Sus scrofa: one gene and its partner. The protein of the gene in region 1 binds, or shares a complex with, the protein of each later gene. Links are inferred from orthologs where the notes say so. Each region holds a gene or a part of one and is shown on either strand. Other genes may lie near its edges.

Evidence for each region. Proteins that work in one complex are often made in the same cells at the same time.
Region 2: the proteins of YWHAG (region 1) and CAMKK2 are in contact, whole or in part, in a crystal structure (PDB 6Y6B), measured with the Homo sapiens proteins. The link is inferred for Sus scrofa from reciprocal best matches to the Homo sapiens genes YWHAG and CAMKK2. Residues at the interface, in NP_036611.2 of Homo sapiens: Ser46, Val47, Lys50, Asn51, Arg57, Arg132, Tyr133, Gly174, Leu177, Asn178, Val181, Glu185, Ile222, Leu225, Asn229, Trp233; in NP_001257414.1 of Homo sapiens: Leu99, Ser100, Leu101, Gln102, Glu103, Arg104.

Annotation. Positions count from the first base shown.
Region 1 is NC_010445.4:9,993,381-9,997,675, forward strand, and holds the start of YWHAG (14-3-3 protein gamma), read left to right. Parts: upstream 1-1,421; 5' UTR 1,422-1,653; coding exon 1,654-1,740; intron 1,741-4,295. UniProt on the Homo sapiens protein: Adapter protein implicated in the regulation of a large spectrum of both general and specialized signaling pathways. Binds to a large number of partners, usually by recognition of a phosphoserine or phosphothreonine motif.
Region 2 is NC_010456.5:31,348,826-31,352,473, forward strand, and holds part of CAMKK2 (calcium/calmodulin-dependent protein kinase kinase 2), read left to right. Parts: intron 1-640; coding exon 641-662; intron 663-789; coding exon 790-878; intron 879-2,113; coding exon 2,114-2,313; intron 2,314-3,200; coding exon 3,201-3,254; intron 3,255-3,648. UniProt on the Homo sapiens protein: Calcium/calmodulin-dependent protein kinase belonging to a proposed calcium-triggered signaling cascade involved in a number of cellular processes. Isoform 1, isoform 2 and isoform 3 phosphorylate CAMK1 and CAMK4. Isoform 3 phosphorylates CAMK1D.

The sequences.
Region 1 (4,295 bases):
GTTCCACGCCCTGTTCCAGAATCAAGCCTGGAATAATTCTCCGAAACTCCTTTATTCTCTGGTCTCATACACAACACTTCATATTCACTGTTTTAAAAAATCCCTGGAAATTTCCTTGTGGGAAGTAGATTAAGGATCTGCTATTGCTGCAGCTGTGGTGCAGGCTTCAACTGCAGGCGTGGGTTTGATCCTTGACCCAGAAACTTCCATATGCTGTGGGTGCAAAAAAAAAAAAAATTCTTTATTACTTTCTAAAGTACTCTACACACTTATCTTTACTTTGCCTATTTTCTTGGGCAGGGATTTTATTTGATTTGTTCTCTGCCGTACCCTATTGCCTAGAACAGTGCCTGGAACATTGTAGGTGTGCAATAAGATAAGTGCTGGATAAACGAAATAAAACGTGCAGTCAAAACTGTGGGTTGTGTGAGCTACATGGAATGTCAAAAAGGGAAGCACATGAGCAAGAATTAGTCAGATTGACCTCAGCGTGTATATTCTAGGCGGGCAGAAAAGAGTTGGTTAACCCCTACACACAACCCAGTGTTGAGCAGCCATTGGCTAACTGAATTGAATCTTTAATGCTCCACCCTGGAGAGGAAGGAAGGGGCTCACCAGGGGTAGACCCGCAAACTACTGCTGTATCCTTTCTACAAATTGACCAGGACGCCCTCCTGGTATTTGTCTTTCCAGATTTCCACCTGTCAGGTCCAAGAATCTCAAGGTGGGGATGCGGAGGGAGCTGGAACCTTGTGGGGGAGGGTGACAGTCCCCCAAGGTTTGGCTCCTTAATTCAACCATCCCTCAGGCGGTCACCACCCTCACAGTTTTAATCAATAGTGTACGGACCCCACCTCTCCAGACCCCCACCCCCCTCCATGTCCTGCTATTTTATCTCAGAAACATGGTCCAGGGCTGAGGCCCTGGCCCCCTCCTCCAGTAATTTCCCCAAGCATGTGGGGCGGGGCCGTGAATCAGCACTCACTGGGACTGATGCATCCTCCGTCCCCGCCAGGGGTCCCCAGCGGCCGCAGAATTAGGAACCCCCCCCTCCCCGTCCCATCCTCCTCTGTCTGAGCGCTACGACAACAGGGAGATGTAGTCTTGGCTGCCCCTTTGTCCCTGATCTCCCCAACGTATCGCCGCACCCGAGGATGAACTACAACTCCCAGGGGCCCAGGCGCCGGAGGCCTGAGAGGGCCGCGGTCTGCAGGACGAAGGGTGGGGGCCGTCTGGAGAAGATAGGGCACAGCAGCCGGGGTGAAGGGAAGCACCCGGCTCGTTGGGGGGCAGCGGGGAAGGAGGGGACGCCCAGAGAGCGGCGCCGAGCTGAGTTGGGGAGGGGAAACCCAAGGAACGGAAGGGCCGGGGCGGGGGTGCGCGGGCGGGTGGGCGGGGCCGTTGCGTCACGCGGCGTGGGCGGGGCCGCAGGGGGTTGTCCGCCCGCGGCACGCACAGCAGTCGCAGCCGCCTCGCGCCCGGTCCCGCGGTCGCAGCTCGAGCCGCAGCCTCTGCGCCGCCACCGTCGCCGCCTCAGCCGCTCGCTTCGTGGGTCGGTCCCTCCGGCACACGGGCTCCAGCCGCGTCGCAGCCGTCCCCTGAGCCCCTCAGGCCGCCCCGGTCTCCTTGCCCGGCCCGACCCAGCCCGTGAAGATGGTGGACCGCGAGCAACTGGTGCAGAAAGCCCGGCTGGCGGAGCAGGCGGAGCGCTACGACGACATGGCCGCGGCCATGAAGAACGTGAGTTTCTCCTCCCCTCCCCCCGCCTCGCCCCAGCCCCTTTGCAGACGCGGGCCTTCGTCGGCTCTTCCGGGGGACTGGTTGCCTGTTGCAGCTGCAGGTCTCTCGCCCCTGAGGGAGCTGGGGAGGGTCCCGAGAGCGCTGAGGACCGGGTGTGACGCGGCCTCGCTCCGAGCGTCCCCCGGGGCCGGCGGCGCTGTCTCCTCAGCCCTCCTCGCGCTCGGGCTGGGGCGGGGTCTTGCAGGGCTGGTCTGGGCAGCCGGCTCTCCGGCCGCCGCGCCTTTGGCTTTGCCGGGGACCTGAGCCGGGGCCACGCGCATCCTTTGTGCCCCACTTCCCCTCCTCCCAGCCTGGGCGTGTGGGGGCGGGGGACCGCATGGATGCGGTTCCTCTTTTCTCCCTGGTGTCTGGGCGGCGCCTTTTCCATTCACTCAGCAGGTCTCCCGGTTTTCTGATGCTCCCCCTCTCCCCAAATCTTCCCACTGTCTCTCGAGACAGGTCCTTTAGAGTCTCCCCGGTAAAAACGTAGGCTGTCCTGAAAACCTGGGCGCAGTAGTACAAAATCGAAACCTCCTTGCTCACGTTTTTCTTAACAAAAGGCTCCTCTTTCTTTACCTCAAAGCAAGCCCTCTTGATTTTAGGAAGAGGGGAACGTTTGTTTGGCTAGCTTTTTCATTGATTGTTCTTAATATGTTATCTCTAATTTTTCCTAGTGTTTTTTGTATTGAAAAGGGTAGGTATTGTCTTAAAAATAAAGGTTGTGAATTTAGCTGACTGGTTCAATTTGTGATAATATGCCGTTTCTCTTTTAAACACAGGCACACATCTGTTGAAATTCCTATAAGTTGAAAAAATATTCTCTCTGATCTGATACTGCAAACAAAGCGGTGGTGGGAGGCAGTATCAAGTCATTCCAGAAGATTCTGCATTTGTCATATTGCAGAGAGCCTAGACTGGGTGGAGGCTGGGAGGAGTTATTTTAAAGGGGAAAAAATATCTTTTTTTTTTTTTTTAATTTGTTTTGTTAGATATATCTGAGGCTTAAAAAAAGCTATCACATCCTTATTGGTGATGAAAAGAGAATACTGATCTCCAGTTGTCGCATTTTGTCTGGGATGCAGATTCCTGCCTGTATTGCACCATTTTGTAACACTACATTTGTCTAATGGGCAGACAACCAGTTTGATGGTGGGGGGGAGTATTGACCATTATTAAATGAAACCTAGAAAATTATCTAGTGATTTAGGTCTCCCACTATTTTAATAAATAAGTTAAATACTTCTTGCCTTATGTAACAAAGGTTTTAAAGTGCATCTCCTGTGTGTAGCAGATGCAGGAGTGTACCTTGCGTGTTAAATCTTTTTAATGAAGCAGTGTAGGTATTACAGATTCATTAATTCTTGAATAATTTTACTGGTTCACAAAAGATGACAATACTGATGCCTTTATATTTAAGTCATCTACATTAATAAGGGGTTTTTATTCCCTTAAGGAAGAGAATTGACTCTGAAATTGGGAGCACTGCTTTATTAAGAGACTGCTACAGTTGCTGTCTTTAAAGTGCAAATGATAGAAGTTATACTTTAATAGATATCAGTATCTTCAGTTCAATTATTTAGACTCTTCTAATTTTTCCATATTTCTAGTTTCACAGGAAAGCGAGTGACCTCGCACCTATATCCATAGCAACCCAGTGATGTCACACAATGACACAGAGGCTGCAATGCACCTAAGGGCTGGTAGGGAGTATTCAGATGGCATTTGTCCAAGGTAATGCAGAAATTATCAGATGAGCCAGGTGGAATTGAGTACTTTATGTTCTATCAGATGAGAATTGGTCCCCAAAATAAAGTATTTCATTTATCCTTAGACTTGCAAATCAGGGACCTCTAGATATGCCTGTTCTCCTTCCTATTTCTAGTTTTCTCAAAAGTTTAAGGATACAGTAGTGTTTTTAAACATTCATCTCACTATTAAAATTGGGCAATGAAGGAATAAAGTTAAAAATTTTAAGCAATTTTTTTGTGATCATAGTGCAGGGGTGGGTTGTATACATGGCTTTATTGCAAATTATTAATGTGGCAGGTTTTAAAAAAACCTTTAAAAAATTACAACTTCCTACTCGGTCATTTTCAGTAAATGTCAGGGAATGAGAATCCGTTTCAGAACACTTGAGCTTGGGATTGGGAAAAGTTTTCTTTTGCTGTGTTGATGCTTCTGCTCTTTGACGACAGAGCATGGAGGAAAGAACAGTTCATAAAATAAAGCAGACATTTTTCGAACCTGTTTACTGTGATTCTGAGGGTTAGGCTTACCTTTGACCTTCACTTTCTTCCTCTGTAAAATGGGTCAATACCTACTTGAAAAAGTTGCAAGGATTAAATAAAAACTGTAGATGCTTTAAAAAAGTAACTGTTTCTTCCTCTCTTTGTAAAGGTTATCACTGAATTTGGAAAATAGAGGAAGATACAAAAAAAAAGTCCTTCCCTTAAGGTTGGAGTAATCCAGGTGCTAGAGTGATGAAATTTATTTGAATTTAATGAAATTACCCTAGT
Region 2 (3,648 bases), on another chromosome or scaffold:
TATTTTTTTAGGGCCATACCTGAAGCATATGGGAGTTCCCAGGCTAGGGGTCCAGTCAGAGCTGCTGGTGCTGGCCTACACCACAGCCATAGCAATGCAGGATCCGAGCTGTGTCTGCGACCTACACCACAACTCATGGCAACGCCGGATCCTTAACCCACTGAGCAAGGCTGAGGATTGAACCCGCATCTTCATTGATATTAGCTGGGTTCATTACTGCTGAGCTACAGTGGGAGCTCCTGAGAGAATGTAGTTTAGCATCAGTCATTTCTCTGGAGCCCTCAGGTAGGAGAGGAAAGATGAAAGGAGCCAGGAGCAGTCCAGAGTCCACTATCTCCGGTTCCCCTGCTTTGTGTTCTCTGGCGTGGGGTCCTTCCCTGTTTTGAGGACTAGAAGTACAGCCAGCCTCGTATAGTCCCAGTGACACCAGAAATCTCTGATCCCTAGCCACCAGATGGGAATTTAGAAAAGCGGAACCTTCAGTAGCTCTGGTTCAGTGAGCTATTTCTCTCCCCAGCCCCAGTAGTAGATTCAGTGCTTCTCGATGTTTCTAGGGGTAGGAGGGGCTTGGGGAGCAGGGGGAGGAAGATGGATTTCCAGTTTCCCAATGTAACCACTCACTCCCTTCTCTATCCTACAGTGTTTGAACTGGTCAACCAAGGGTGAGTGTCCCCATTCCCAGCAGGTAGGCTGCCTGAAGCTTCTGAGCTGCTAAGCTGCATGAGGTGGTGCAAGAGGGCAAAGGCCCGCGCGTCTGGTTTGCACTTCATGCATGTGTTGACTTTTCAGGCCTGTGATGGAAGTGCCCACCCTCAAACCACTCTCTGAAGACCAGGCTCGATTCTACTTCCAGGATCTGATTAAAGGCATCGAGTACTGTAAGCAGGGCCTGCGGGAGGACCCTCACCCAGGGGGGTGGTGAGCATGCCCTGGTGGTGGATGGGAAGTGGAGGGTTTCCTACTTCCCTCCTGGAGCCCAGGGATGTGGGCAGGAAACAGAATTGTATGAGATGCAGAGTCACCGAAGGTTGCAGATAGCTCTCCTGGGGCCACACTATGAGCAGAAACCCTTCTGCCACACAGAATAATGAAGAGAAATAGTGATAGTGACCATCCATCCAGCACTTTCTTATGTGTACCAGGCACTGTTAGGGACTCTCACTTGCATCATTCTTTATTCCCAGCAACCCTGGGATCCTGCTGACCTCCTGGAATCTTCATTCCTTGTATGTAAAGTACGAGGTCAAGGACTGAACCTGCGTCCTCATGGATAGCCACAGTGGGAACTCCTGAGAGGATGTAGTTTATTTTTATTTAGTATAAATAAAATAAAAGAGATACTTTAGATAGCATGAAGTATCTCTCACCAGGGCTGAAGTCAGCCCGGACATCAGTAGTTCTGATTGGCAGGTGTACTTTCTACTTCCGGTTGTTAAACATTTTGACTCATACTCTTTGCCTGTTACATAGGATTGTTGTGAGATTGGAATGAGGTGAATGGGAGAGGCCCCTGACTGCGCATTCAGCAAAGGCAGCTGTGGCTTCTGTTACCAACATCATCATTTCATTGTCACCACTGCCACTACCACCCCAGAAACGCAGTTGGGTCTTCCAGACCATAGGGTCATCCTCTCCCATGGGCTGACGTACAGTGGGGAACAGTTAGCCAAGTCTCCAGTCCTGTTCTGTGCTTCGCACCTCAAATTGACCTGCTCTAGTCACTGTTGGTTTGGTGAACAGGTTGAGTAGTGGCATTAATAAATGAAAATATGTTTGATTATTACAAGTCTTGATACTTCTAGTTGGGAGTCAAGCTGAACAACAACTTTCTCATGCACATGTGACTTAGACTATAGCAGGTGGTTACCAGTTGCTCTGGGCAGTCTCGTGTCTCACCCCTTCCTTCAGACAACAAGACAGCTTCTTTTGAGACACTCCTCTTGTCTTACAGAGTGTTCAGCAGGTTTGGGAGGGGAAGGCTGGGAAGAGCCTGGGGCCTCAGGAGAACAGTGAGGTTCCTGCCTGTGTCTCTGGGCCATGTGGGCTACGTGGAGCTCCTCACATTGTTTTTCTGGCCCCTGTCTCTCCCATCCTGTGTTGATGCTGCCCCCAGTACACTACCAGAAGATCATCCACCGGGACATCAAACCTTCCAACCTGCTGGTGGGAGAAGATGGGCACATCAAGATTGCGGACTTTGGTGTGAGCAACGAGTTCAAGGGCAGTGATGCCCTCCTCTCTAACACCGTGGGCACACCCGCCTTCATGGCGCCCGAGTCACTCTCAGAGACCCGGAAGATCTTCTCTGGGAAGGTAGGTTTGGACCTGCCTGAGATGCAGAGTTCTACCTGTGTTAGGGTCCTTTCCATTTTAAGTGGCAAATACCCAGCTCACTGGCTTTAAACAGTGAATCCATCAGATCATATGGATGAGGAGTGGGGTGCGTTTGGCTTCAGGCTTGGCTAGACACAGGGATTCAAATAGGAATCCATCTTGCCATCTCTCAGCTCTGTTTTCTGGAATTCCTCCTCAGGTGAATGGGTCATCAGCAGCTCCAGGCTACTTTCTATCAGTTTACCAGCCTCAGTAGAAAGAGCATTGTTTGGGAGTTCCCGTCATGGCGCAGTGGTTAACGAATCTGACTAGGAACCATGAGATTGTGGGCCGACTAGGAACCATGAGGTTGTGGGTTCGGTCCCTGCCCTTGCTCAGTGGGTTAACGATCCGGCGTTGCCGTGAGCTGTGGTGTAGGTTGCAGACACGGCTTGGATCCCGTGTTGCTGTGGCTCTGGCGTAGGCCGGTGGCTACAGCTCCGATTAGACCCCTAGCCTGGGAACCTCCATATGCCGAGGGAGCGGCCCAAGCAAAAAAAAAAAAAAAAAAGAACATTTTTCTTTCTGAAGAGCTCCAGCAAAAATCCTGGGGTTGGCTCTGATTGGCCTAGCATGGGCCATATGCTCATCCTTGAGCCAATCACTGTGCCTAGGGGAAGTGTTGCTCTCATTGGCCAGGCCTGGGTCATGTGCCTAACTAGAGGCTGGGGATTGAGGGGCAGGAACAGCTATGCCCCTGTTCTGAGCAGTCAAGAAGAGGTGGTTCCCCAAAGGAGAGCTGGGGGATTGGATGCTGGGCAGTAAAAGCTGTAGACACCTTTTACTGCTCCTCATCCCCTCACACAGAACTCTTTTTTTTCTTGCAGGCATTGGATGTTTGGGCCATGGGTGTGACACTGTACTGCTTTGTGTTTGGCCAGGTAACAGGCTGGGATATCTTGTATCCTGGGGGTTGTGGATGGGCCCCCTTGGATTAATAGTTACCTCTGCAGTTAGATAGTGCTTATTCACTTAAAAGTTATTTCATTTTATTTCCACAGTTAGATCTGAATATGAAAAATTATGCCTTCCCAAATGCACATAGCTCTATGTGATAGTCATATCTGTTGACAAAATGAACAGAGGATTAAAACAGAAGGATTGGCAGAGGCTCTAGTTTATAAATTCAGTAGTTGATGAATTTAGGGCAAGAAAAGCAAATGTGCTACCTCTGCCCACTCCTAAACCAGAAACAGGCATGCCTAATCAATAACTACTCTTTTCTCCTGAGCCCAGTTTTGCTTTGATGTTCTTCTCCCAGTGTTCCTAGAAGCT